4 linked regions of the Oreochromis niloticus genome follow. The protein of the gene in region 3 purifies or fractionates together with the protein of the main gene of each other region. This does not show direct contact. Links are inferred from orthologs where the notes say so. Each region holds a gene or a part of one and is shown on either strand. Other genes may lie near its edges.

The links.
Region 1: the proteins of skp1 (region 3) and fbxl6 purify together in Homo sapiens (affinity purification with mass spectrometry; 6 studies listed by BioGRID and IntAct, with this or other methods). This does not show direct contact. The link is inferred for Oreochromis niloticus from reciprocal best matches to the Homo sapiens genes SKP1 and FBXL6.
Region 2: the proteins of skp1 (region 3) and fbxo45 purify together in Homo sapiens (affinity purification with western blotting; 7 studies listed by BioGRID and IntAct, with this or other methods). This does not show direct contact. The link is inferred for Oreochromis niloticus from reciprocal best matches to the Homo sapiens genes SKP1 and FBXO45.
Region 4: the proteins of skp1 (region 3) and fbxo33 purify together in Homo sapiens (affinity purification with mass spectrometry; 5 studies listed by BioGRID and IntAct, with this or other methods). This does not show direct contact. The link is inferred for Oreochromis niloticus from reciprocal best matches to the Homo sapiens genes SKP1 and FBXO33.

The regions. Positions count from the first base shown.
Region 1 is NC_031985.2:12,377,748-12,385,030, reverse strand, and holds the start of fbxl6 (F-box/LRR-repeat protein 6), read left to right. Parts: upstream 1-4,267; 5' UTR 4,268-4,370; intron 4,371-4,448; 5' UTR 4,449-4,587; intron 4,588-6,976; 5' UTR 6,977-7,058; coding exon 7,059-7,283. Other genes in the region: uncharacterized protein LOC100711840, read right to left, coding at 1-520, 676-742, 3,780-3,833.
Region 2 is NC_031974.2:26,336,715-26,344,632, forward strand, and holds the start of fbxo45 (F-box/SPRY domain-containing protein 1), read right to left. Parts: upstream 3,024-7,918; 5' UTR 2,423-3,023; coding exon 2,096-2,422; intron 1,449-2,095; coding exon 1,092-1,448; intron 991-1,091; coding exon 805-990; 3' UTR 1-804. Other genes in the region: fam168b (myelin-associated neurite-outgrowth inhibitor), read left to right, coding at 5,349-5,418, 5,523-5,606, 5,914-6,056, 6,142-6,337, 6,421-6,533. UniProt on the Homo sapiens protein: Component of E3 ubiquitin ligase complex consisting of FBXO45, MYCBP2 and SKP1. Functions in substrate recognition but also plays an important role in assembly of the complex.
Region 3 is NC_031975.2:22,837,678-22,844,956, reverse strand, and holds the start of skp1 (S-phase kinase-associated protein 1), read left to right. Parts: upstream 1-4,279; 5' UTR 4,280-4,435; intron 4,436-5,077; 5' UTR 5,078-5,080; coding exon 5,081-5,177; intron 5,178-5,323; coding exon 5,324-5,397; intron 5,398-6,788; coding exon 6,789-6,932; intron 6,933-7,279. UniProt on the Homo sapiens protein: Essential component of the SCF (SKP1-CUL1-F-box protein) ubiquitin ligase complex, which mediates the ubiquitination of proteins involved in cell cycle progression, signal transduction and transcription.
Region 4 is NC_031983.2:25,187,376-25,194,385, reverse strand, and holds the start of fbxo33 (F-box only protein 33), read left to right. Parts: upstream 1-3,988; 5' UTR 3,989-4,131; coding exon 4,132-4,565; intron 4,566-7,010. UniProt on the Homo sapiens protein: Substrate recognition component of a SCF (SKP1-CUL1-F-box protein) E3 ubiquitin-protein ligase complex which mediates the ubiquitination and subsequent proteasomal degradation of target proteins. Probably recognizes and binds to phosphorylated target proteins.

The sequences.
Region 1 (7,283 bases), on a different chromosome or scaffold from region 3:
TTGAGGACTTGATATGCCTTTTGAACATTGCCATTCTTACAGTACTGTGAGTTGAAGTTTCTAAGCCAGCTTACTAGAACAATTGGGGAAATTTTCTCCCTGCTCACAAAGTTGCTCAGTTCAAGAATCAAGCCGTTTGTGACTTCGATCGATTTTGCCCGATCTGAAAAATCCCTCATTTCCAAAAGATCTTGCCGCTCGACTCCAATGCTATCACATATTGGTCCAACAAAATTAAAATTGACATCTGATTCCAGGAAGACCAGCCTTGCATCATATCCAAGACTCAGTGTTGTGGCAATGCCTCTTTCAATCAAACGGCGAAAATCTGCTGACTGATGTGCGGGGAAGATCCTCTTGAGCCAATCCACAATGGCGATCCACGGAAAATTATTGTCCTCTCTCAGAAGTCCTACTTGGATCATAAGTCTGTTCTTGCAGGGGCCCTTTTCAAGCTCTAATTCTTCTCCTGATTGAGGACCAATGAAGTCTGCAACGAGCTTCCAGTAGTACTCATCTCCTGAAAAATAGAAATCAAAGTAATTACAAACGTAATCCTTTACGAAGAGGTAAGCCTTTTTAAATGAACTGGTATTAGGCACAGTCACTATGTGAAGGTTTATCAGCAAAAGTGACAAGTAAGTAGCTGTTTACTTGCAATGCATTCAGACTTACTTAGATTGGCTTCAGTCACAGCTGCTTTCCCACAAAGAGAAAAATCTTGACCCTCCTCCATTGTGTGCTGTTTTAAAAGAGACAGAGATGAAATTCTTCAGTCCTCAGCCTACAGAAGACAAAAACTGGATGGATAATGTGTGACAAATCAGCATGATTAAGATCTGACAGACCAAACAAAACAACAGTGGGCGGGAACTTTTCAGTGCTTTTACAATGACAAATTTGTCCTAAATTTGTATGAAGATGAACGGGTGAAACTAAACAGTTAAAGCTGTAGCTATTATTTCAAAATGTTATGATCTTAATAATAATTTTTGCTGTTTTTCTTGCACATTTTTTATCTTCCCCTACTAAAACTCATAAAGAGTAATAGTACTAATACATCACAGTGAGAAAAAGTGCATCATGGCACAAACAACAAGTAACAACCATTTCCTTATCGCGTCATGTCATTTTATTTTATTATTTTATTTTCATAAAATGTTTTGGATCCTGACCACTTCTAATTTCTCTGAAAAAAATCACATTAGGGTTAAAAATTTCAGGTCCCTACTGTCATTAGTTTTCATCTTTTCAGAGGGAATTTGAAATTTCACTATCTGGAAAACTACTTGAGCACGGTCCATTAAACAATTAGGGTACTATGGCTCAACACCACTACCTTCATCCATTAAAATACTTTTTTCAGAAAACAATTTTTTCAGAAGGGACCTGAAATTTGACATAACTCTCATAAAGATGAAAATATTTGGCCTGAGTTTTTTCAGACAAATGTGAGACTTTGCTTTAAACATCTGCAAAGAAACAACACTGACACTCTGTATTCCCTAAAAAAGAAAACAAGTTGTTTATATTTTATTCTCATTATAATAAAATTTCATGTTACTAAATTGAATCTTTTCAGTTAATCAATCAGACTAATTACTAACAATCTGACTTTCAAACAAAACACATTAAATTTTTTGTTTTTACAAAATTACATTTTCACACAGAGAAACAGTTTACTTTTCACTTGTAAGAGTTGCATATATCAGCAACTACATTTCTAATATGTCTGTATTTTGTCAAGCATATGCACAGTTCATGTGTTCATCTGTGATTCAATCCCCCACCCTCCCATCTCTTTGTATGTTGTCTCAGCCAGACTTTCCTGTAATTTTTAAAGTGGTTTTCAACACTACCAGGCTTTCTGAAGCTCTCTCAAAGTGTTTCTTTGGACACTGGGAGCGTTTTCATCCATTTCTGTACCACTTTCAGAGTATTTTTGTTTGTGGAGTTTTTAAGCCATTTAGCTTAATTATTGAATTATTTGAGTATAAAAACAAACCTAAGTCAAGTGATGACAGCATTGTGTTTATACACATCAGACTACTTATTAGCAGCCTGTCACAAAACACATTATGTGTTGTCATTTAGTTTTAGTTTGTTTGAGCTTATGAAAAATGCCAATGATAGGACAGTCTGATAGATATATAATAGTATTTTTGAATGAACAAGGTGATTCCCAAAGACCTGTTGTCCAAACATATATGCTGAGATATAGTAAATGTCAGCATGGTGTGCGGTGTGTCTTTAATAAATCTGAGGAAGCTGGATCTTGTCAAAATGATAGAATGCACACAGATTTTTACCACAATGCAATACAATTTGGAAAGCATCTGATTTACTACAACTTCATTTTTCAGCATGACAATGATCCCAATGATCCCTGTCAATGTAGTAAAAGCACACCTGGATAGAAAAGCACACAACTGAACACTATCAATCACAGGCTGACCTCAACATCGCTGAAGCAGTGTGGGATGATATTGGCAGAGAACGGAACAAAGAGCAAGCAACTTCCAAAGAAAAGCTTTGAATGCCCTTCAAGAAGCTTGGAGAAGATTTCTTAAAGAAATGACAATAAAGCATGTCTAAAACAATCAAGGCTGCATTGAAGAATATAGATGGTCCTATCAAACATTGACTTTCAAACTTGTTAGAATTGTAGAAACTCAGTTTTTACCTTGTATATTACATTTCCACATATGTTTACATATGTTACAGTGATTTGTTGTATCCATTACCCATTTTTCTATATATAGCTGGTACTAGTAAAAAAATGTAATGTTACAAAAGTGTGTGACATATATTCTAACTAGTCAAACTTCCAAAAAGACATATTCATAGTTTAATTTTTAGTTCTCAAATAACATTTAATGATCTACAGTAAACACTGTTTTCAGGAGCAACTTAAGTGATCATCATAATTATTTTTAACTGATTAAAACTGAATTAAAGAGAACTACAACTAGTCTAAAGTAGGTAACAAACATGTAAATTATAAAACAAAAATATTAAATCTAAATGCCTGCAATGGTGTTTGAATAGAAGTCAGTTATAAGTTTTTGAATAGCTATTAAACTTATGCAAAGACAAACTTATTAATAACATGTTGACAAATTTTTTAAAAAAGATCTCTGGGTATCTAATTATAGATGTTACTTATCAAAGTGAATTTCTAAAAAGTTGGTCTGTAATTATAACTAGTCAAAAAATAGATGAATAAATAAAATTACGATATCTATGGCTGTGAAATACTACAGGGGTGCATGTCATAGCAGATCAAAAGTACAAAACAACAACTAAACATTCTGCAGAAATAATATATTTAAGTACACTTGTATGACAAAAATGTACATCACATACTAATTTATCTTGTGAGAGGGGCTAAGCTATGTAAAGAATCCTGATTGGATACTATGTGTGTTTTATTATCAGTAAACATGCATAATTAATTCCTAACATGTATAAATACATCGAAATATGTGACTATTCCTGTGATTTAATGGCATTATAAGCAGGTTTTTCAGAAAAAAAAGGATTGTAGCTACATCTCTAAGTGAATGCTAATGCTGGACTAAATCTACATGCTAATGCTAGCCTTCTGAGCAACATGCTACTATTAGCACCTACTTTACTAGCACAAAACTAAACATGCAAAAGTGCAATAATCCGTGATTAATACCTGAGCAGAAAAGATGTGCTGGGTTCTGTAGCGTTCCCAAATAATTTGAAGTGTATGCGCTGTAAATTTATGATTTAGTAGTACAAGTTCTTACCCAGAAACAAAAACACCAGGCGCCTGGGACACGCTCCCTCTCAGAATACACCATGAAGGGGTGGAGACCGTGCGCTGCAACGATTGGCTGGTTTTACAGAAGGCGGGCATTTGTCGAGGTCTCAACGAATCATTGCTGCGAAACGGCCGTGAAGCCCCACAGAAGAAGAAACTGGGAACGACAGATTTTCAACTTTAACTGTGTTGTTGGTTAACGTGTTATCCTATAGGATGTTAGTTTTTATCGAAAAGACTGCACTTTTATATATTTATTGTTAAATTGCGTGTTTCTATGCAAATGAATGATTTTCATTTTTTTCATTTTTTCATAATGAGTAGGTGGATTTTTTAAATGCTCTCAGTTTTGTGAGAAATGCAACTCTAAAAGTAAATAAATGATTTAAAGTTTTTAAAAATATATATATATTTATATTTAGTCTGCGTGGAATTGCAGCTGAATGTATTATAACGACGGTAATATTTTGTTACTTGAAGACATCTAATAAAGTTTTTTGTTAAAAAAAAAAAAACCAACAATGCGAAGTGCATTATGGGTCCACTTACTGCAGTTGTCTTCGTGATCTAGCGGCAGGTAATGTAAAACACCAATTTATAAATGTATTGTTTTAAAAAGCATTTCTGTTAATAACATTTGTTTAATTATCGACAGGCTCTGATAATGTTTACTGCCGCCGTCGCAACGATTTCCATGCCGTATTTTGTCATATTATGCTCCAGGGCGATTTGTGGGAAGTAGCTCAGTTAACTGGTGCCAGGTAGCGTTAGCTAACTCTCTAAACAATGGCCAGGTAGGTAAGAGCTTAGTAATAATAAAATGTTAATATATTGCGTTTGTAAAGTATTTGATCGTCATTTCTCGTACTTCACATAAAGTCGTTGGTAGAGCCGTCTTCTGTTTGCAAACAATGAACATGCGCGCGCAGCTTTGAAATGGAAAACGGCTTGTTAGCAAACGTGGACAACAAATTTTTGTTAATATGGCTCATATCTTTACATAAAGGGAATCAACAAAACTACAAATGCATTCAGTAAAATCCACAACAGCCTCTTTCAGGATGCAGTTGCTGTACTCCACATTGAAACCCCAAACAATAGAAAACAGGGACAAATTAAATAAATTACAGTTCTGCAGCGAAATATTGGATCCTTGGCTTCATGTGGCTGTAACAACTCGGCATTGTTATAGATGTGGTCATGCAGAAGTCTCCGTGGACTGTGATATTTGCAGAGGACAATGTGAGATGTAGTGAAGGTAGGGTAGGTAGGTAGAAGGTGTAAGTGAGTTTGGAGAGGTGGAGGTATGCTCTTAAGAGAAGAAAAATGAAAGTCAGTAGAAGCGAGACATATCCACGTTTGTGAATGAGATGGAGACTGGTGTGATAGAGAAGCTGCAAGGCATAGAGTTAGTGATAGTTTAAATACCTGGGGTCAATCATCCGAAGGACAGTGCACAAGAGAGATGAAGAAGATGGAGTGGGTGGAGACGGGGTAATTTGTGACAGAAGCACAGCAGCAAGACTTAAATGGAAGGTTTACAAGATGGTAGTGAGACCTGCTAGGATTTATGGTTTGAAGATATTGGAGCTGAAGGTGTTAGAGTTGAAGATTTTCTTTGGAAGGGACTAGGATGGATATCAGAGGGACAGTCATTTGGAGAACACGTTTGATAGGCAAAGCTAAAAATGGTTTGGGCATGTGCAGCGGAGGGATAGTGAATATATTTTACAAGGGATGCTGAATATGGAAATGCCAGACAGGAGGAAGACTGCAGAGGAGATCGATGGATGTAGTGAAGGAGGACATACAGAAGGGTGGGTGTGACGGACGATGGTAGGGAGAGGGTGAGATGGAGGCAGATGGAAGCAGGTAAAGAAGGTGACTAACAAAAATAGCAACTTTCTAGATGTTTGGTCATACCACAGTAGATTTTTGTATTTATATGTTATCCCAGCTCTAACTATCATATATTGGCTTTGAATATTTCAGCTGGTGTAGAATTAATTAAAAAATCAGAAAAAAAAGCCTCTTAATGTTCACTCTTCACAATACCACGTTTTGACTTACGGGCCTGTATAACAAACTTTCACTGGCCTCTACAATATTTTTAATGACCCAAAAAAGCCAATTTAATTGTTTTCAATACTGGAAGCTCTGTCTTTAATAATGTAGTATAAAATAATAGTAGACTTATATTTTATAAAGTTACATCTCCCAAATAAATGGTAGCTAAAGCTGTAAAATAATTGTCATGTATAACATTATCTACCCCTCTTTCCCTGCAGGAACCACACCTGTTAGCCTTCGGCTATAAAATCTGCCTTTTTTAATGATCATTTCAAACTGAATAAACAGACTGCATACAGACAGCTCTGCTTTATTTAGTCACGCTTTGCAAATACTACCTGCATGAAAAAATACTAATTTGTGGGTTCATTTTGGCCAGTGAATTGATACATGGAAACTGGCCCCAGTGGGCCACTAGTTATTTTGAACCCTGCAACTGTAATTTACTTACCCTTTGTAATCAAAATACATCAAATGTCTTGGTTTAAAAACAGATGTCTGTAGTCTGTCTAAATAAAGTTTGCAGATGGAGCAGTATGTCACAAAAATGTATCCTCTGCAGAGGAAAACGACACATTTTCACACCAAATCTCTTTCCCAATCTACTGACATTCCCAAGCTCTTCAAGAAAGACTTTTATCAACACACCTGTTCAACTCTGAGCATGCCAACTGTGTAGTTATTCTAACTTTTACTTTAGTGAGATTACCTATTGTGAATAGTTACAAATGTTCTATATAAGGAACAATTTTCCCTTTTAATTTCTGTGTATAAAAACTCCTCATTACTTATTTGCAGATAAAGACGTGGTGCAGGATGTTTTGCATCTGTACAACTGAGTGTGAATTTTGTGCCTAAATATTGGGAGTTATGAATAATCAATTCTTAAGTAATCTGTATATTTATGTGCAGTCTACAATATGCAAATAGGAATGTCAATTTAAAGTCATGTTGCTACATCCTCGTTTACTTTATCTAACCATAATTTAGACGTGACTTTTACAGTTTTGTTTTTATGACCACTTTGCTCACTTTGCTATGTGCATTTTATTTTATCCCCAGTGGAGATCAGATTACTCTCACAGACTTATCTTGATCTGCTTCTCATTCCAGACATTACCACCTATGAGGCTACCATGCTGATATTTAGTTTTCCTGGATTTAATCTCACTGTAAATTCAAGATAGCAGCAACTATGGATGCATCTGAAGCAGAAGCCTCAACACAGAATCAGGGAAAAGAGGAAGGTGCATCATCAGGTCAAGGAGATGCTGGAGCAAAACCAAAAAAGGCATCTTTGAAAAGAGCTGCAGATGCGAAAGCAAAAAAGAAGCACAAAAAGGCTCGAGTGTCCAGACCTGCCCGGCCTGGTTATACTGTCCATCAAGGGGAAGATATGCTTCTCGTTATATCGAGTTCC
Region 2 (7,918 bases), on a different chromosome or scaffold from region 3:
AGGCTTTAAAATCAGACAGTATCTATAGTACCATAGATAAAACCAGGAAATAAATAAATTGTAATACTACAGTAGCACATTAAAAAGACACATTTCATGTTACAGGTTTAGTTTCCACCGTTACTGAGTAAGTACTTGAAAGGGGGAGATGTTTCAGTGCATACGCAGCACAACAGTGCGCATGCATGGACTGCCACACACGTGCCATGGACGTGGCCCATGTGTCCTTGAGGTTTACCTATGCCAGAATGTTACAATACATCTCACAGGTTTCATTTCATTGTAATGAAGTCATTCCACAATGTGTTTGTCCATTAACTCACAAGATAACGACTGTTTCACATGTTAAAAATGTTGCGTTAAAGTATTCGCCACTTGGTTTAGAGTAGCTCAGGCCTCCTTCAAGCAGACAAAATCTCAAGTAAATCTTCAGCGCGAGTCCGAAACAAGTGACATTAAATTACGTTTCCCCTGTGAGGTGAATAAAAGAGTTCAGCAGCTAAACTGTAAAAGTGGACTTCTCCACGTAGATACACAAACAGTCCCTGCACATTCCTTTCCCCCTGTTGTTTGTCCAGTTTGAAAAAACAAAAAAAACAAAAAAACCTTCTGTTTTCTCGGTGAGTCGAAGTAGATTGCAGACAGTTCTCTGTGTGCTTATGGAAATAAGGTTACTGTGTTTGGAAGAAATGTGACCACTTACCCTCCAAAACCTTAAAACGTTACAATAGGGGGGGAATCAGCAGTCTGTCTGCACTTGACAGGAGCTTGTATGATTTCACGGTGGCACAGGCTGATCTGCATCTAGCCGTCCAGAGGTTTTCCCAGGTACACCATGGTGACTTCAGTGTTGCCGTATACTGCAGACACAGCAGGGAACAGGCAGGTTTTGGGCAGTCCACGGAAAGCCACTCCGAGAAACTCAAAACCTCTCTCAAAGGCTAACGTCTTGTCATCCATGTCTAGAATCACTCGTATTCTCTCCCCGATCTGTGGACAGGCACAGTCACATCAGGACTTATAATCATGTTTTCACTTGTACTCTTTACACAATTTCCTTTTAAAATGTCATTTCAAATCTCGACTCCTACCTGATATTTAGGTGCATTGTTACACTGGGGGAAATTACCGTTGACCTCTCCGTTGTGAAGCAGGTTATTGTCAACCAGGTTCCAGCCCCAGCTCTGGTCATCGCTGCCCAAGAGGGCTACGTAGCCCTGGCACTGCATCTGCGCCCGCTTCGTAGCGATACCTATCACTGCCACGGTGCCCAGGGGGCCCTCCCACCAGATTTCCCAGGCATGTCGCCCCTCCGAAAAGCCGATTTTGCCCCGTGCGCCGTCTGTGCTCTGGGCAATAGGGTTGCGGTGCAGAGTGAAGCCGTTCTTCTTCACATAAACGTTGCGGGAGCAGTCGTGGGAGCTCAAAGCATGCTGAAAGGCCTTGAGCTGCACAGGAAGACAGTTACAGTTAACAAAATCACAGACACTTGCTGGGAAATCTAAATATTAGTAAGGGGAAAAAAAGTTCTGTGAAGCATATATACAGAAGAAGAACATGCTTCTCTACTTTCTATCTTGCAGGACGCTCACTGCACCATTCAGAGGTGTAGAGCTCAAATGTTTTTCATAAGAATGCAGATAGTGTTTAGTGTTTCTAAAAACACTTTGGAACAAATGAATGAGCGTCCTTAGACTGACATTGGACACAGACAAGTTGTTCTCATTCAAACCTTACTTTCATGCCATCAACACTCCTATAAACAGTCTCCATACACAGACTGCTTAAAACAGGTTTTGTTCTATTATGCAACAATAGGCTGGAGAGTCAACTCAATATGGACTCCAGTGATAAGCCCAATGGCAACAAAACATCTACTCTACACCTGCTCAGTGTGATCACCAACTGAAAGACAATACTACAACAAGCAGGATTCAGTTTTATGCCCATTTATGTCTTATATTTCACTGAATACGTTAAAAAGCACTGGATTACGCTGACATTCAGTAATGTTTATGGCTACACTGTCACTTTGTGTAAAGGCATCACCAAACAGGTAACCCCAGGACAGAGGGACGTGTACTGGTAAACCTACTTTGCCCTTGTAGGTGGGCAGGTTACAAAGGATGTCAGACCGCAGAGCCTCGTCGCTCAGAGTCCGGCTGCAGAGGCTGCGCCACACCTCGCTGTTTTCATCCGCCAGGATATTGTTCCAGTGCCAGCAGACCAGCGAACACCGCATCAGGTCAGTCAGCTCCAGGTAGGAGAAAACATGCTCCAAGACCCTCGCTGGTAGCCTCCCCGCCACCCCTGCGCCTCCTCCGGCTGCAGCCGCATATGGAGAGCCGGTGGAGCTGCAACTGGCTGCCGCTGCTGCGCCCAAGCAGGAGGAGCCTCCTCCCCCACCCGCCGCTCCAGACATTATGCCCCTGCTCTTCACCGACGACGCCAGCTGAGCGAGTAGTTTCACCGTACACCGCAGGACGGTTCCTAATATGAGCTCGGCAGCAACATTTTTTCAACCTGTAAAAACCCACACGTAGGTCGCGCTAAAACCACAACAGTATACGGACCCGACTCTTCCCACTTCAATGGCTGAATGGAAACGATGCGTCAAGGTCCTCAAAGGGCACGAAGCACTAATTGTCCTGTTGTCACAGAAACGCAAAAATTATTTCGGAAGAAACAGTGGTCAGTTTAAGACGTGAGCAAAGTCTCCCGAGTCCGGAGACGACGAGCTGTTTGATGAGGCGACGCTCGAGCTCGAGTCAAATAAATTTTACCGCCTGCAAGGACCGCAGAGCCGACATAATGAGTTCAAGGAGGGTTGCTACACAGTACTGTTGCAGTGTTGCGATACTGGACGTTCCACCGCTGCAACGTCAAAAGTGTTGTGATTGTGTCGCAAAAAAATACGAACCGTATTAAAAGACGATGCAGTTGTTTACCAATAAAAGGCGTTATCTGACCTGTTACGTCATGTTGGTTGGATTTGATAATTATTTTCAGATCGTGTTTGACGGAAAACTAATAATAATAATTTAAAAAGAACTACTGGTGTTTTAATTGTTTAACATGAGATTTACACGTTGTTGAAGAAAACAAAACCGGCGTCTTACATAAAGTATAGTATATTATATATATATATTTTTTAATTTGTATACCACGTGACACCACGGAAGTGACGCGGGGTGCTCAAAAGAGTTAAGCAAAGCATCTGGGAGCAAAACAGCAGTTAGCTTTATTTCATTTTAACCCACAAGACCGGAGGAGGTGACTAACTGACGGTCAGAGCAGCTAACAGTAAGTTGTTGTGGGTTTTTGTTATCGGGACAGAAAGATGTGCGTGTTATCTGGTAACGGGACAGGCTGCACCGCAGGACACAGCTGTCTGGCTGCCTGCCTCCTGTGCTATGCGGCCTGCTTGACGAGCTGTCCCCCATCTGTCTGCTGTCCGGGGACACTCCGGCGGCTTTGCGCGGTCAGACAGGTGATTAGCGGATCAGCGTGTAAAGCAGCGCTCACCTACGGCGACAAACAGGCTAGGCTAACTGCAGGTGGTGGAGATCGTGAAGCTTGTGAGCTAAGCTAGCTGGTGGTAACAAAGCCCCGCTGCGTTCACCTTTCCAAATTCTTCTACTTCAGGTTGCCATCTTAATTTTTGCAGGCGACGTATCGAACGTCATGTTTTGAGAGGGCACATGTAACTGCCGAGCCGTCTGTGCTTGGACGGTGAAATCAGCCCTTAAGACTTACCGATGAGCAGCACGTATTTAGATTTTAGTCTAAGAAAACCTCCAGGAAAAAAAAACAAAACAACAAAAAAATCCAAACAGAAACGCATAGCTTCACACCTCTCTCGCCCCTGTCGTCCACTGTGTTTGGGTGAAAGAGTATATTTAAAGTAACACAAATAAAGCCGAATTGCTAAATTATGTTGTTCCTCTCTCTCTCTTTGAAAATGAGAAGTTTTGATTAATTTCAGTTTCCTATAAAGAGTCAGCCTATCAAATAAACTGGAGTTAAATGTGGATTCACTTGTAGCGTGACTGTGCTTATTAGCAACCCGTGTAAGTGTAATTGTGAATTTATATTTACCAGAGTCCATTCATGAGCACGTTGTAACGAGGTGGAAGGGTTTTATGTGTTTTTGTTTTTCATGCTCACGTTTTTTAGCTACCGCTAGGTGGAAGCACAGATGCATTAAACTCAACCCAGCCACCGTCATGGGAAGCAAAAGTCAAGGTTTCTTCGGGAAATTCGCTAAGAAAGCTGTAAAATGTAATAACAATAATGATGCATTTTGTTTCAGACGCCTTTCAAAACACTCAAGGTCACCTTACACACGGTTTAAAGAGATGTTCTGATGCGAGAGAGAGTTAGGGATATGGATATTTGCTGGGAGGGAATTCTAGAGGCCAAGAGCACAGCCAACTCATGATCTAGACCCCATGGTAGGAGGAAGAGGAGGAGATAGCATCATGTTAATGTGGAGTAACATCTCTGAGGAATGTTTATAGCACCTTGTTAAATTTAAGGTTTGCCCCGAACAACAGAATGGCATCAAAAATGCAAAATCAAAGGTCTAGCTGAGTGTATTAATTTTCCAAAAATGTCTTTCACAAACTGCTCACGAACATTGTGTAGAGACTATTTGCGCTCGTCTCTCTTTCTGCTTTAGACAGTGCTGAGAGCATTGGGAACCATGTTGACACCATTTTTAAAAATAGTGCAAGCACCTTCTCTGTGTTATGTTTAATATCAAACAGAATATATAGTAATGCCAATACAACTGTAATAGGTGCATGTCAGCACACAGTATCAGAAAATGCTTATTAGTCTGGTCTTCGCTTTGTTGTTACCGTGACCTTGCAAGGTCATCTCATGCAGACCGCTGTCAGTCTTCACTGAGGGAGAACGGTTATTATTTGTGGTCCCTTTTAGCTGTGTCGTTAGGTAACAGTGGTAGTTTGGCACATGTGATGAAATATAAATGTAATGAAATGTGACGAAGCTACAGTAACAGCAGTCTAATAAATGGACAGTATGTCAAAGTCTAAGCTCCAAAGAACACACACCAAACCAGTTTACATGCTTAAGATTTCTGAAAGCCAAACTGAAGGTTTTGTTTAAACCTTCTGAGGAATCTTTTCACAATCACTGTGCTGTTTCTGGAACAACAGGGTCACAATCGACAACAACAGAAAACTTCATATTAGCATGTCCATCCTTTCCACAAGAGCTCTGCTGGCTCACAGATCAGCAGTTGATTTCCACGCATGATGTTTGCATCGTTCCAACCTGTTTGTGCTTCTCTTATTTACAGCATCTGCAATTAGACAGCCACAATGAACCCAGTATACAGCCCTGCACCAACAGGGGTCCCCTTTACCAACACTAAGGGTATAGGTTATCCAGGTAACCTGAAGCATAGTGGTTTAAGAAACAAGCATAATTACAAGAAAATATCTCCCAGCATTGAGAATACTGTTATATTCTTGTTTTGTTTCTGGTTTTGGCAGCTGGATTTCCTCTAGGATACGCAGCAGCTGCTCCAGTGTACACTCCCAACGTCTACGCAGGAGCAAACCCAGGCTTCCCTAATGGTGAGAAGAAAGTAACGCTGAAATCTGCTGGAGTTTATCTGATAGGTCTTGAAACACATCTTCCTGATGCACTTCAAAAGAGTCAAACGGTTACAGCGGACTTCTTTTATTTGAATTAATTATAAATATAACGTAATAAAGAATAAAAGTTCCAAAGAGACTCTTAATAGCCCCAAAAAGTGTGTGTGCTTCTTTTCTATGAGGGTCCTGTTTTACTGAGCTGCACAGCCAGTGTTTCTACGCAGACTTCAGCTATTTTGTCCCAAAGCAAACGGCACTAATGTGAGCCGTCTTCCTCCCTCTCCAGGCTATGCTCCAAGCGCTCCTTTCAAAGTGTCCTGCTCTCCCAGCACAGGGACCGTCCCACCATACTCCTCCTCCCCAAACCCCTACCCAACTGCTGTGTACCCTGTCAGGAGCACCTACCCCCAACAGAACCCTTATGCACAGGTCAGTCCTCGCTTTTAATAACACGCCGTCTCTCTTCATCCTGGTTCAATGCTTGAGCTGTAACGTGTGGTTGTTTGTCCACCAGGCACTAATACCTTCACAACAACAAGGCCCTTACTACACACAGGCTCTGTATGCTCCACCGCCTCATGTCATCCATCACACGACAGTGGTCCAGCCCAATGGGATGCCTGCAGCAATGTATGCTCCGCCTATCCCTCCTCGCAACAATGGTGTTGCCATGGGCATGGTAGCCGGCACCACTATGGCCATGTCAGCTGGTGAGCTGCAGCGGTTTATTGATTCTTATCCAGGATACAAATGTGTTCGATTTGTAGTTATACCTGTGGCTTTCACTTCTCAGGAACTTTGTTGACAACTCCATCGCCAGCGCCCGTCGCTCCCCACCCAGTCACGATGCCCACATATCGGCCTCCTGGCACACCCAGCTACAGCTACGTGCCCCCGCAGTGGTGAAGAGAGAGAAGCGTGAGTATGTTTTAAAAGGATCACAAGTTTGGTCAAAGGTGCAGATTAAAGGTTTATGTTTACACCCGGTGTTCTCTCTGCAGGTCCGGAAGATGGTAGATATGCATTCACACTCCAGTGTTTTTCTCTCGTGGTGACGACCTGCCCCGCCCTGGCAGCGTCCGCTACCAATTCTTCTTCTTCCAGCATAATGTGAATCTAAAACCCAACTACATAGAGTCCCATTTGGATAAGCAGGGGGTGACAAATAGGCCCATCCCCACAACCCCTATTAATGGAATAAGGCTGCATTCCATACCCCCACGCCCCCACCCCCTCAGCGCCAGCACCTCTACAAACCTGCTGCATATCTCACGTCAAACTGCAAAGCCTCCATGCAAACTCTATGTGGACTCTCATGCAGGTTTTTATAGCTTAAATTCTTATGTAGTGAAAAGGGAGTTTGGAATAGTTTTTTTTTTCCTTTAATTTGGGGGATTAAATATGATGTTGAATGCATGTGTATATATAGATTTACAAAGTAATGCTAGCTCAATTCTCCCTGCTGTGACAGATGCAAATTCAATAAAAGGCACAAATCCAAAGGAACTTAGAAAAAAAGAGTAATAATCTGCAATGCTGAATCACCAGTGACTATGTCTTAAATGTGAAAGAAAAAAAAGACAAGAAACGTTTATTCATGCAAAAACATACCTGCGCCGTCCATCGCGGGCCAAACTGTACTATTTTTCACCGCTTTGTGTTTAGGTAAGTGGTTTTTATCGTTTTCTTTCAGTGATGCAGTGTTTGCATAATGTCTTACCATTTTTGTATTGTAGGAACAAAAGATGGGACTTTGAGTTTGTGCCTCTGTGACTGGTGGCCAATCCAACACTTTTACTTTTTCTGGCCTGTTAAACTTACTTTTTTTTTCATTTAAACAAATGGTGTTTCAGTTTCTTTCTCCCCCCCCCCCCAAAAGTCTGAAGCTGCTCCTGCTTGGGTGATATATGATGTATTCACTTATTTTAGCCAGAAGTGTTCTTGGTGGGGAACAAGTATAGGAAGTTATTAGAAGTCAATTGCACCCATTTAATAAGAGTGGATGAGCAGGAAGTGTGTGTGTGTGTCTGTGTGCGCGTGTGTGTGTGAAAACGGGACTCGAACGGAAACCATTCTGAATGGTGCCATACAGTGCAACATGCTTAGAATTTTAGACTTACATGTCACTCTAATGAATTTACTCTTAGGCAGATTTGAAGCACTACATCATTAAATCACCGCTAAATGTGGACATGTTAGGGCACCGTAATGATATTAAACTCCATTTGTGAATAGCACTACTGAATGAAGGCACTAATTCCAAACGGTTTGTAAAAGATATTTGACCTTTT
Region 3 (7,279 bases):
TTTATTAATAAAGACGAAGGTGGCTTCTTGATGTGAATATGCTGTTGTTTTTTTGTTTGTTTGTTTGTCCTCATATAAAACAGTGTTATGGTTTGAATTACACTGTCCTTGCATTGTCCTGGGATTAAATTTCAATTTACATTGATGCCAAAATTTACCACAATTTAGCATTTTTCCCAGCGATGAATTTCAAGTATGAACCCGGTTATTTTATTTTTTTTTAATCTCTTTTATGTCTTAGGAATACTAGTTAGAAGTATTTTACTTATGATGTCAAGAACTTTATCCCATATTTGGTGAATTATTTTTGTTATAGCAATTTAAGTGATGATGCAAAGCCAATAATAAAATCTGGCAGATGCCTCTCGGCCAGATATCACTGTTTTATAGAAGGTGATAGCATGTGGCTAAGACTTCCTATGGCTGTGCTTGTCTCAGCAGAGCTGAAACAGTCTGTTAGAGAAGGTGGTCAAGATCCTCCATGATGGTTTGCTCTCCACCAGTGCTTCAAAAGTGTCCAGTTTGCTGCTAATCACAGAGCTAGCCTTGCCAGGCAGTTAATTTACTCAGTTGGTATCTCTTCTCTAAAGCTGCTGCTCCCCCAGTCGACCACAGTACAGTGAACGGCAGTCACTACATCTCAGTGATAGAAAATCTTCATTATTTTGCTGCATGCATTGAATTTTGAGGAAACCAAGCTTGACCACTCCACAAATTATGAGGTGAAATCTCAAAGAACATTAATAACCCCAAAGATAAGTGATCTTTTATGAACAAGGATGCTTATAGAACTGATACATTACAATTTATAAAATTTTGATTGTATCTGACTCTTTTTTTTTTTTTAAATTAAAGTTTTTAGCTGTCATAACACCCACTGTGCATTTTTTGTGTGTGTCCTACTGCAGCTAAAGTGCTGTGATGACTTACTATTTTGAAATTAAGTGGCATCAATTCAAGGATGACTTTCAATGAGCACTTGAACGCACCATGGAAACCGCTTGAGAGGATCCGTAATAGGGGAAAAGCGCCATCCAATGGTAGCTCCAAATACTACAATAAACGCTGCTGTTTGATAAACAACACATGCAGGGGTATAATTTTGGAAATTACTGTATGAAACAAGGCTTATTTAATATAATCTAGCCCAAGTGAATCTTGCATTCATATTTAAGATAGCATTTAGAATATATAACAGAATTTATGGTATTGCCCAGATTTATAAACAATTCCTTAAAGTCATTCAAATGATTAAAGAAATGATGAGGCATAGTTTTAGCTTGAAAAGCTGAGAAATTCCTTTGTGTTTAACCCAGTTATTATAACAAACTATAAACAATATAGCTGAACTGATTAGAATAGTATATAGCTCCATACATCCATCAAGCCATTCTTTTCTGCTTATCCAGCAACGGACAGTGAAGAAAAGAGTACACAGGGGGGAGCAGGTGGTTACATGATTTGGGAACGGTGACCCTAAAAAAGAGAGGAGGCCTAGCTGGAGGTGGCAGAGCTGAAGATGTTCAAATTTTTATTTGGGAGTGAGCAGGATGGACAGAATTAGAAATTGGTACATCACAGGGACAGTTTAGGTTGAGCAGTTTGGAGATAAAGTTAGAGAGGCGAAGCCGAGATTGTTTGGACATGTGCAGAGAAGACAGAGTTGATATACAGGACAAAGAATGATGAATAGGGAGCTCCCAGGCAGCAGCAGAAGAGCAAGACCACAGACAAGGAAGAAAAACAGAGGGTTTTTCTGACAGGACAGGATACTGGGGTGATGATGGAGATGATGCTCAGCAGATTGTTAAAGGGAACAACCAGAAGAAAAAGATTTTAATTACACAGCAATGTTAAACATCTCAAATGTTTGAGACTTTGCTAGATTGTCTTAGTAAAAAAACAGTCTTGCAAAGGTAGGACAGCATTAAAGTGGGCCAATGTACACTTTAACCCCCACCCAGCGTGGAGAGGCATCCAAGCCCTCTCCAACTACATGGCCAGAGCCCTCCAACCCTCAACAGCAGCCTCAAACTTGCAGAGGAACTCAACACCTTCTTTACTCAGTTTGAGACCACCAGTTGTCTTGCTGGTGGTCAGACAACAATCTGAAGCTGAGAGTCCTTAAAACAAAAGAACTCATAATGGACTTCAAGAGGCACAGACAAGTCCATTGCCCTCTCATTATAAATGGAGAACGGGTTGAATCTGTCTTCATCTTCAGGTTTCTGGGCACCCACATCTCTGCTGATCTCACCTACAGCCACAACACTGACATCCTGGAAAAGAAGGCCCAGCAGCGGCTGCACTTCCTCCTTTAGTTACACCCTTTTTATACACGCTCTTTATTACTCTGTAATATTCTTGTCAATCTTCTTAATATTTATTTATAATCACCTCTATTAATCCTTGATATTTATAATTGAGGGATCTGTATATATTAGTGCTATTTCTTAAATGTGTAAAATCTGTAACATAATGTATTGTTTGGAGTTTAGTCTGTTACTGTTACTATTTTTACCATTTCTTCTTGGAGCAACTGTAACCCACATCATTTCCTTAGGGATTATAAAGTATTCTGATTCTGATTGTTTCAGGATGACCTGCCATTATCCAATGACACATCTGCTTACCTGTATCTTTTGCTCGTTTCTCCTCCTCTTCTTTTCTCTTTTTTCTAAACTGAGCATGGCTTTGAACTTTTCTTGTCCATCTTCCATTGGTTTTAATCTTGCACTCCAGTATAAACACCCATCCCCGAACCCGAGGATCACCACAAGATAACCTAACAAACCTACACCTTAGTTCACAGAGTCACTTTGTCTAGGGTTTATTTCTGGGATTTCGCACAACCCAGGATTCAAATCATGAATACATAATGGGCTTGGATTTACAACATGATGAATGACATGTGTGCTATTTGGAAGCAGCCGGCCCCCTCCCCTTTCGACAGGTTGTGTGTGAGACTTCAAATCTTAAAACTGTAAATTATAAATTGTTATTGATCCCTTTACCCCGAGTCCTAAAGTGTATATTTATTTTCTTGCTCTTCTTATATTTATTGTTTGTTTACTTGCACTGCTGTAACTGGAGCCTCGTCGTCTCGTCTCTCTATATACTGGACTGTATGTAGCGGAGATGACAATAAAGTTTACTTTGACTTCAGCAGCAAGCAGGCGCACAGAGGGCTCTCGCGCTCACTTTTCGCGTATAGAATTTCGAAAAAACATCGGTGCAAATTATGTCTGGTGTTTTCGTGTTTGTTGGTTTGTTCTTATTTTGTTTTATTTTGCAAGTTGGTTATTAGATGCTGCTCCAGCCAGCCAGAGACTCCCCCGCCGCCCCGCCCTCTCCTCCCTGTGCCGCAAGCAGCAGGCGCACCTCGCAAACGGAGGGCGCCCTTACTCCCCGCAAATGGGCGAGGGAAAACTGATCGGTGCCTATGACATTCACAAAATGCGCTGGCATGACGTCGGTGGCAGCATGAGTACAGCAATTTTGTATTTATTTTTTTTGCCGATGCCCGTGATGCCGCCCCCCACCACGATGCCGCCCCGGGCAACCGCCCGTGTCGCCCGTATCAAAAACCGCTACTGTCAGCCAGGATAACCTGGAACAGAAGCTACTGCTGGCTTTCTACTGCTCCTCAGTGGAGAGCGTGCTCTCCTACTGCCTGGGTAGGCAGAGGCCACAACTGAGAACATGAAGGCTGCCCAGAGGGTAATTAACACCACCCAAAATATAATTGGCTGCCCTCTGCCACCCCTGGGGACCATCACTAGCTCCTCCTGTCTAAGGAAAACCAAGACAGGTGACCCCTTGCACCCCGCTCACCACCTGTTTGACCTGCTGCTCTCTGGTCGTTGCCTCAGATCAATGGAGGCCACACCTCCAGACTCCCAAACAGCTTCTTCCCCTGGGTCATTCGGACTGTCAACAAACACTATCTCTCTAATGTGTGAGTTTTGTATATTGTTTTGTATACATTCCCTCTTGGCTGTATATATTTCTCCTGTTTGCTTTTTATTCTTGCTGTCCGCCACAGTTGGTGTGGAGCACCCACGATTTCGTTGTACACGTACAATGACACGTGTGGTGGCTATCCTGTTCTATGCTAATATACGGGAAAAAAGTGTGCAAACCTAACATGCCTATCACATTATACATATATCTTGGAATAATTTAAGAGACTTCGGATATTTCAGAATACCAAAGGCAGAATGACCCTGAGATTATCAGTCAAAGAAGGGTGGATAATTTGAGCCCATACTTAACCCCTCCCCTACGAGAAAAAGACGCCGGAAGGTAGGCTCAGGCTTCTTCTTAGGTTGGTCCAGAGACTACCACCGGTTGTCTGTGTCTGCGTGTTTGTCGGGTGCTGCTGCTGCTGACTACAGAGGAAATTGACCTCTGGATTATCGTTAAAACAGTCACGGTACGTAGCTTAGTTAGCCCAGGTTGAGTTTTGCAGCTTGGAATGAACTGCTCTTTGTTTAATTTTGCTTGTGTCTTTATTTGAATAGCCTCGCTGTGGCGGCTAAGAGGCCTCAACTAATGTCGACACTAGGTGTTAGCTTAGCTAGAACATTGTGCATGGTAACGCTAGCTTCCTGGTTAGCCTAAATATTAACCGATAACATTAAAATATTATGGTTGAACAAAAAACAGAGAAGCCAGCTTTTATGTGTTTTAAGTAATAACACGCATCACCTTCAGTTGTATATAAACTGTATTCAAATAAAAGGTTGCTGCTCGACTAGCATTGCCGCTGTTTAGCCCGTGTCGTCGGTAGCTAATCGTTGGTTAGCTTGAGGTAAGCTTTAACGTTTGTTTTGAGTTAATTTTTCTAATACTAAGGTCCGCACAGGTAATTTTATTTATTTATGTAGTGGGATATTATTCCCGTATTCGGCTAATAATCATATAAACTGTCTTTCTTGCGATAGCTGACAAATTAACTCCCAGACGTAGAATAGCAGTTGCTAATGCGTGTTTACTACTAAGGGTCGTAAGTTTGTTTTCAGAAGTGTTGTCTCCTTGCAGAGGCGTTTAATATCTTAATGTGTTGCCTTTATAGATAATGCCCACAATAAAACTACAGAGTTCTGATGGGGAAATCTTCGAGGTGGACGTTGAGATAGCCAAACAGTCTGTCACCATTAAGACCATGCTTGAAGGTAAGTGTTGAATCGCGTTAAACGTTTAGGTTTTCAATTCACAACTGACCTAAATGGGAAACCCCACAGTTCACAAATATATTGTTTATACTTCACTTAATTAAACCATAATTTGGACAAATGTGTAATGTTTGAATCTTTGACAGACTTGGGAATGGATGATGAAGGAGATGATGATCCAGTTCCCCTTCCTAACGTGAATGCTGCCATCCTCAAGAAGGTACAAAATGCACATATTGCAGTGTCCAGTGGGTTTTTTGTTCACACACAGACTGTGTGGGTGGTGTTTGTTGGATGTGGGAGGGGTTGATTCCTTGTTTCCTGAGATGCTATTAACTAATTGCGTTCATCTCGCCTGGTCTGGAGAAGGGTTATGGTTTAGATCCATGGTTCCCAAATGGTGTATGTTGTGAGGCAAATGCCCTGGAGTTTTCTTACAACCTTTGTTTATTATAATATGAACAAGTGAGGAATGAGCTGCTTATTTACTTTATCAGCAGACCTACTTGGTACACACTCATTTCCCATACATAGGCAAATTATATTTACAAAAGTGTAAGGTGGAACCCAGCCTGTTGTGTGGCCTGACACAAAGCCTGACAAGAAGGAAGATGACAATTTGAGATGGGGAGTGAATGACTTTCTTTGGTAAAGTAAGTAAACACTGGTCCACAGATTTAAAATGAATAAATGTCCGAAGACAGCAGTATTAAAGCTAACTCTCGTGGCTTCAGGTGGTCCGGGTTGGCAGAAATTGTTTGGCCATATAATCATTTGCTAATCGAAAAAAGAATTTGGAAGAAGAGGCCATAGAATCTGTGTGCCTTGAATTTTTTGGCTTTGCTCGTGGTTGTAGTTGGGAGGCAAATATAAATCAAAGCCTGTGATGGTGTCCTCGACGATGATGTAGACTTCTGTATATGGTGAGAGGGTCTAAGCAGAGATCGTAAGAAGTGGCAAAGAGTGGTACTTTGTGTCCTATGGGTAAGCTCGCCTAAGAATTTGAATTGGGTTTGGTTGTCTTCCCCTTATAGTTTTAACATTTTAGCACTGCCAGGCTAAAGCTGAAATAATAAGCTGAAATGATCTTCTATGCCAGTCAATCAAAATGCATCTTAGAAGCACATTGTAATAATCTAGGAAACTTGTGTTATAGCTGGACAGTGTAACAGTGTTATAGCTGGAAAGAGCTGCTGATGTATTTTCTGAGGGTAATGTGCTCAGATGTGGTTCAGAGTTTCAACAAAATCTGAACATCAAAGTTTTGAAGGTGGACCTGGAAAAATGGACAAAATGCGATTGTTTCTCATCCTGTTTTAGCTTTTATTTTCATGCCAGCAAATCATCTAATCACATTTTTGGCAACAGACAAGTCCTGATTTTTTTTTTTTTTTTTCTTTCTCCTTACTACTCATTTCTACACTTCCTTACAAGGAGGTAACGACCTGGAATCTGTGTGACTTGATCCTAATTTGTGGCAAATAATTGCCATTTAATTTTGGTATTCAAACCTTTTATGGGCAGTTTTAACACAGCTGATGGGTGCTGTGCATAACGGGTTACCTTGGTTAAAACCATGTGTTTATTTGTTATTTTCTTTTTCTTTTTCAGGTCATTCAGTGGTGCACTCATCACAAAGATGACCCTCCTCCTCCTGAGGACGATGAGAACAAGGAGAAAAGGACAGATGACATCCCTGTATGGGATCAGGAGTTCCTCAAAGTGGACCAAGGCACCTTGTTTGAACTCATTCTGGTAAACATACTTGCATTATTTTGCATTTTCTTTGGATTGAATTACAACTAACAGGTGTAAGCAAAACCCTGCCCTATACCTAACCTTAACAGCAACACCTGCACATGGTTGATTATCATATCATTACATATGGATCTTACTGAGTTATCTATATTTGTATTGAAGCAGTTTTAATAGAAAAAGGACTTTTTTAAAACAAAAGAAAACAAAAATAGTGGTTAACAGATGCTCGGTTAAACTGCAGGCCTGTCAGTGGTGTCCCTGCAGTTAGCTACAGTGAAGTATCCCTTCCTTTCTTTGCAGTGACTGTCACATAATCCCACTGATGTGTCTGTCACTTAATCCTC
Region 4 (7,010 bases), on a different chromosome or scaffold from region 3:
AAATGCGCTGAGTGTCCACGGTCAGGTCAAATTGCTCTCCCTCCTCCAGCAGCGGGTAGGAGCCTGCAGAGGTTTGGAAAGATGTGTCTCCTCCAAGATTTTTTATTGAAGTTTGTACATCAGCTCTAGGCTGCTGTGCAGATCCTGCAGGTTTCACTGCAGGAGATCCTGCTGGCAGGGCAAAGGTTTCACTTCTGCAGGCGGCATACAGACCAAGAGAAGTCCACGAATGGACTGAGGACAGCATGGAGTCCCTGAGCAAAAGTGTCTTCAATGTGTGTTTATTTCTGAGTCAGTGAACTTTCTAGTCATTACTGCAACTCTCCACTGTGTGGAGCTAATGCCACTAGATCATTATACTGTCTCAATTTCATGCTAAATTATGGACATTTAAATGAATATTAATGACACATATTGGAGGATTTCTTCACACTTTTAATTCTAGTCAAATCCCTCATGGATGGAAACTATTCAAAACCTTACTTTTGTTTTTAAGTGGTGTAAAAAATCTTTTGGATTTGTAATCAGCCCCTGAGCACTGATTGAGATGCTTCTTTTATTTTTATTTTTATTCTTATTGCTAATTACTCAAATTAATTGGCTTTTTGAAGGCCTTAAACATCCCAGAGGGGTTCAACAGAGGTGAACCTAAGTGAAAATGCTTTTCAAGTAAAGATTGCGCTCACCGCAGCTGACAAAATCACGTAAAGCTACCTTACTTTAACTCGCCAACATTATATTCACATACTGAAGAGTTATTCTTCAACTTTCTGGTGATTACTGGATTTTTTGACTTCTTCAGCCCTTGTAGTTCGCTAGTTTTAGATTCGTAGTCGCTGACCAATCACACTACACCCATATAATCTAATGAAATTCAACACAGTAGATTGGCCATGACACTCTACAAGGTTCCAGTGAGTGGCCATGATATCCTAAACTTCATTAGGTTAAATTTTTCCAAAATGTCACCCATACTTTGGATAAGCTTTGTGAAAGTGGAATTTTTGGGAGCGCTGTATGAGTATTGGATAGTACAGAGTGAAAGTGGAGTGCTTTAAGGTGGTTTCCTGTGTGCATTTTTCTTGTCTCTGGGGTTTTTACAAGATAATCTTTCAGTTGTTGTTATTTTCTCCTGAAATTTGTATGAATTTATGGGGATACATAAAGTAAATACCCCCTTAAAAATTATAGCCTTCCTACTTCTGATAAAATTACTGAAGATTACATTGATGCCAATTTCTATATGTACTGTAAGTTATTTGAGATGAAACAGAGAACTGTTAAAAAGAACAGATCGCCCTTCTGTTGTTTCACTGCTAAGACCTTTTCTTTTTTTTTTCTCTTCACACGTCATCTTCTCCAATAATCCCCTGTCAGGAAATCAGAGATTGTGACTAAAGACCAGAGGACAACAAAGTGGCAGTATTGTGATTTAAAGTCTTAAGGAGGATTCGGCTCAGTGGTGCTGTGCTGAGTCACCTGGCTGTTGTATATCCTGTTGATAAAAGAACCTGAATGACCATGCTGCTCACTGAACCCTCAAAAATTGCAATCACATCGGAGATTTTAAAGCCCAAAAACACCATGGCAACATCATGGTGCTGGGTTGTCATATAATAGAAGGAAGGACGGATGGAAAAATGTACCAAGACATTCTTGATCAAAATCTGCTTCCATCTACCAGGATGATGCAGATGAAAGCAGTGTGGACGTTTCAGCAAAACAATGATCCCAAACGCACAGCCAAGGAAAAACCAAATGGTTTCAGAGAAAGAAAATAAAGAGGCTATGGCCTAGCCAATCACCTGACCTGAATCCAATTGAAAATCTATGGAAAGAACTAAAGGTCAGAGTTCAAAGAAGGGGCCCCACAGAACCTTCAGGATTTGAAGTCTATTGGTGTGGAAGAATGGGCCAAAATCACACCTGTGAAATGTGTGTGACTAAGCATGTTCAATACTTTTCACTGTCATGTCTCATATGTTCAATACTTATTTTAGCTGCTGTTTGTATATTTATATCTATATTTGCCACACTTTGTTTCAGATCAAACAGTATTGTTGGGCTCTCTATGTCCAAAATTTTATCTCATTCTACCTGGCCCTGTGTGGAAAAAGTAACTGTAACTAAAGGGTTTTTTGATTATTTTAAGTTCATACCCGACATTCTCCTTCAGGGTTTTCTGGTAGGCAGCAGAAATCATGATTCCATCAACTACAGCAAGTCGTCCAGGGTCTAAAGCAGCAAAGCAGCTCCAGACCATCACGCTACCACCAACATGTTTGACTGTTGGTATTGTGGGTTTTTTATGAAATCTTTTGTTAGTTCCAGAAATAACAGTACTTAAACCTTTCAAAGCGTTCAACTGCAGTCCTGCAGTAATTTTGGTACTCCTGGGAAAAGCCACTCCTGGGAAGCTCTAAGCGCTCGTTGTAGTTCGCTGGAGACCCAAAGCCTTAAAAATGGCTTTGTAAGTCTTTCCTAACTAATAGATGTCATTTACTTTGTTTCTCATCTGTTCTTAAGTTTCTTTAGATCGTGGCATGATGAGTTGCTTTTTTGACCTTTTAGCCAACTTCATTTTGTCAGACAGGTTCTGTTTATGTGAGTTCATGATTCAACATGTCTGTCAATTAACCAGGCCTGGGTGTGGCGAGTGAAATTGAACTCAGCTTTCCAAAAAATATAGTCAACAAATTTCATGTCGACAGTTACAACATGCTAATGACTGCAGGTTTTATTCCTTAATCAATGAAAAAATACATTTAGTTGCTTTTTGTATTTACTCAGGTAAGTCTTATTTTCATATTTATTAGATGAACTGAAACATTAAATGTGACAATCATTCAAAAAACTAAGCAATTGGGAATAGGGCTAGTAGTTTTTCACAGCCCTGTAGTTGAAAATTACATTTCAGTGCAGCAGCCATGCGGCAAACTCTAATCTGGGGAGTTTGATCAAATTGTTAGGACTGTCACACTGGTGTCACTATGTTAAAGTTAAACAATCATTCCTTATGATTATGAAATTCCATCAAAGGTAAAATAGACAGGCACAAAGAAGTTCTAACTTATCAAATGACTGCAAATAACTACCTTACCCAATATCCGGGCATATCCGGAAACTGAACACAAAATAACCAAATTAAAGGAAGCAAAGGCAAAAGAAAATTAATAGGAAAAAAATCTGGGACTCCAATTGCTCTTAGGACTGAAAAGATTTCTCGGATGAGAGGTGAAACGTCTTCAAGGAAACTTAAAGAAGTCCAGACGCTTTTCTTTCCAAGCTCCTTAGACTATGATGACCTGGATGACCGAGAACCTTCACAGACAAATTGGAAAAAATGGTAAGTTATCCAGATAGTATGTCTAAACACATTTAATCTTTTTTTATTTAGAGTTTACGTACAATATAACAGCAGTATATTAACAATTATTAAAAAAAATTCGTCTTCTATAATGACATTAAAAAAATTAAACTTCCATTACCATTCAGTTTTTGCTTCCAGAATTTTCATATTGGATGCAATTCATTTGTTAAAAATATGCAAAATGTTACTTTTGTGAGACTGCGTAGTGTGTAAATTATTTTTATACTTGTTTTTGTCTTTGTAATGTTTTGTTTTGTTGTTTTTTGCATCAACTAGAGGGGGTGTGTCGTGCTGGAAACTTACTCCAAAATAAAGATCATGTGGAGGCTCGGGGTTTTTCCAGGCGCGAAATACTGCCCTCTCACGGAGTGCGACAGTATGGCAAAAATAGCAACCTTCGGTTGAAACCATTCAAGTGACAAGGTATCGATGCGGTCAAGTGTTACCCCAAATCTGATGAAAATACCACCAACTGATCAGCATGGTGGAATAAAATATTAGTGTTAGGAAGTAAAAAAAGGAATACCGCGATGGATGTTTTGATAAGGTTTGTGGGGATTGTTTCGGTCCCCGTGTAGTTCGGTGGAGTGGTACGTTCCAGTAGTATTGAAGGCAACGCTGAAAACGGTTTGTTTTCACCGAGAGGAAGAAGCGTCGCTTATATTCGCAGCTGCTACCTCGTCGCTTTAATAAACGGTTGTGGCATTTCGTTTACGTCTGGTTGGTTTTTCGACAGCAGCTTTTGCCGTTTTTAGCTCGCCATGGCTCTGTGCGGGGGTGTCGGAGCCATGGCTTTGCCCAGCGAGCTTATTGTCCACATATTCTCCTTTCTGTCCGACCGAGACAAGCTCCGGGCCTCGGCTGTGTGCTCTCGCTGGAGGGAGTGTCTGTTCTACCCCGCGCTGTGGACCGAGCTCAAACTGCGAATAGGTGGCGGTGGATGCTCCAGCTCCGACGAAACCCCAAAGCTTGAGTTCCTTATGCGAAAGTTTGGCTCTTTTGTGCGAGAGTTGCAGCTGGAGCTCGCACCGGTGGAAGGAAACCTTAGCCATCTGAACAGCGACCCGTCGTCCGCCAGGATGGACCAGCCTCCGGGTCCCGATAGCGACGCGCAGCACAAGGAGCGATGGAGGGACGCCGTGGCCACCTACTTGGACCAGGTGTTATGTGTGTTCACCAGCATCCGAAACAATAGGTAATACTAGAAAATAACCTCTGGAAATGTCTGCTTTGATATTTTTAATTGGAGTGAAAAATTCGCTTGACATGTTCGCCCTGTTTTATTTTGTTTTTTAAATTTCTCGGGTTTAGGTGCGTCGCAGTGGCTAGCAACTGGCTAGCTCAGTTAGCTATAAACAAACCCTGGCATTAGGAGTTACGTAATCATGCCAGGTCTTTGCAGTGGCAGCAAGCGTTATGTATATGGAGGCACTGTTGGTTTATTAAGGACAGCTTTGCATGCATAAATTAAATGGTGGTGCATGTGCGAGGCATCTGCATGCCTTTTGTCACCTGTCCTATTTTACACTTCTCATTATGGTCTCTCCATAGCAGCAGGTACAATGCAGCACTGGTGGAGGCTAGAAGGCTTTGTTGGCTGTGACTTGCTGATATCAGCACTGACATAAACACACACACACACAAATATACAGTGTGTGGATGTATTTAGCCTGTTGTCCGTTTGTAGGATGTGATCACTTATATTCTCTCACACACACACACACACAGGATAATTTCTCCTACTCTGTAAAAACTTGGCTCTGTTAACGCTTCAGATTTCATTGGTGCAGCTGTGTCACACCTTTTTCCACCTTCTCCCGCCTTCTTTACAGTGTTTTGTGATGCTGGCATTCAAAACTGGTTGCTTTATCTTAATCCTACTAAAGGGGTTGAAATATTTGACATTATTTTGTTTGTTTTAAAGTTGTTTAAGTTTAAGGACAACTTTAACCCTTTTCCTACTTCCCTGCTGGTATACAGCTCTACTAGCTAGATCCAGAAAGTTGCATTTGGTGCCAATGCTGTCTTTTAACTATAACGTTTCAGTTCAGTAACAGGCTGTTGTTTGTATAAGCTTCAGCAGCAGAGGAAGGATGTTCTCCCACTTCCTACACAACACTTTCACTGACTATCAGTGTGTATCAGGCAACATATAGACACCAATAATGATCTATCTGTAGTAAGCCACTTCCGGACACCTGTTTATTCAAACAGACTTTTAAAATGTGACAAATTTAGGTTCATCCAGATGTAGAATTGTGAAAGTGGGCTTTGTGGGCAGAACTGAAATGGATGAACTTCTTCCACTGATCTCATCATGGTGATGAAGCATTATGAGAATCTAAGAACCATGGTCTCTTTTGTGCATGGTAGTTTTGAAAAGATCAGGACTACAACCTCTAACTTCAGAGCTCGCTATCGGGTAATGAAAAGCCCGTTTTTTGTTTTTTTACCCTTTCATTTAGTGCGCTGAGCCAGCTCCACCAGCACTGACGTATGTTCCGAATAATGAGAACAGACAAGTTGTTGTTTCTTTCTAAGGGCACTAAGTAGCTGCACATGAGCCCATAAACCTGAACTCTCAGCTGATACACAGGAAGTGGGTACATCAAAGGTAATATGCGCTTCACCTCGCAGGTACGCCTGTGCCATGTTCGGCTGTATGAAACCCTTGTGGTTGAACTGGTGCATGTGCGACACTTATGCAGGGGATATGTTCCCATCAGTATTGAGTTGGCTAATTCGGACATTTAAAAATGTTGAGAAAATGGCCTACAACAAGAATTGTTATCAATAAATAATTGCACTTTGCTAAGTGTTAATTGTAGGGATGCACTAATTATGAAATTCTGGGTTAATGGAACCTGTTTGACTATTATTTGAAGACTGCACATCACCCAGATAACGTTCATATTTGTTTATAATGTAATGGCTGTTGGTGTATTGTGTCGTTGTACTGTTGGACTATTTAAAGGTCGTCATCATCATTCATAGAGATACTGACTTTAAGCACAATCATTATGAAAACAGTAAAAATAATTGTGTTAACTAATTTCTTAAGATATTCATATACATGTTATTGTCACTTGCAGTTATTTGATTTTAACTTATGTCTGACCAAATTAAAATTAAACTGAAGTGATAAAATGGCTTAAAATGTTAAAATGTAAATTTTCCAATATTTTTGTAACAAGAACAAATCTATTGCCTCTTAATCCTGTTGGTTCATTTAGCCAAAACAACACTGATGTGAAAGTAAATGTCATCCTATTTGCCGATAAACCTGCCCTTCCCTCTTATGTTTGTAACCGGTCCTATAAAGAAATTGGTCCTTTCTGCTTTTCGCTATGTTTATGTTGGTGATCTTCCAAACATTACTATCAAAAGAGGTGTAGATCGTCTGTTTGAAACAAGGTAATTGGCTGCATTGTGACCACTATGCTTACATTGACTGCATCAGTGTTTGAAAGAATCAACTTTGGCATATACACTGCTGCTTGATCTTTGCCAATCTATTTTGGGTGCCAGGATATAAAGGGCTTTCAACAGCACTGCAGGAAAGTGCAGGGCAGCCATAATTCTGTGCGGGATAGAAAGCAGCTTGGGAGAAGTGGGGACTAAATTACACTGAACAAAATGG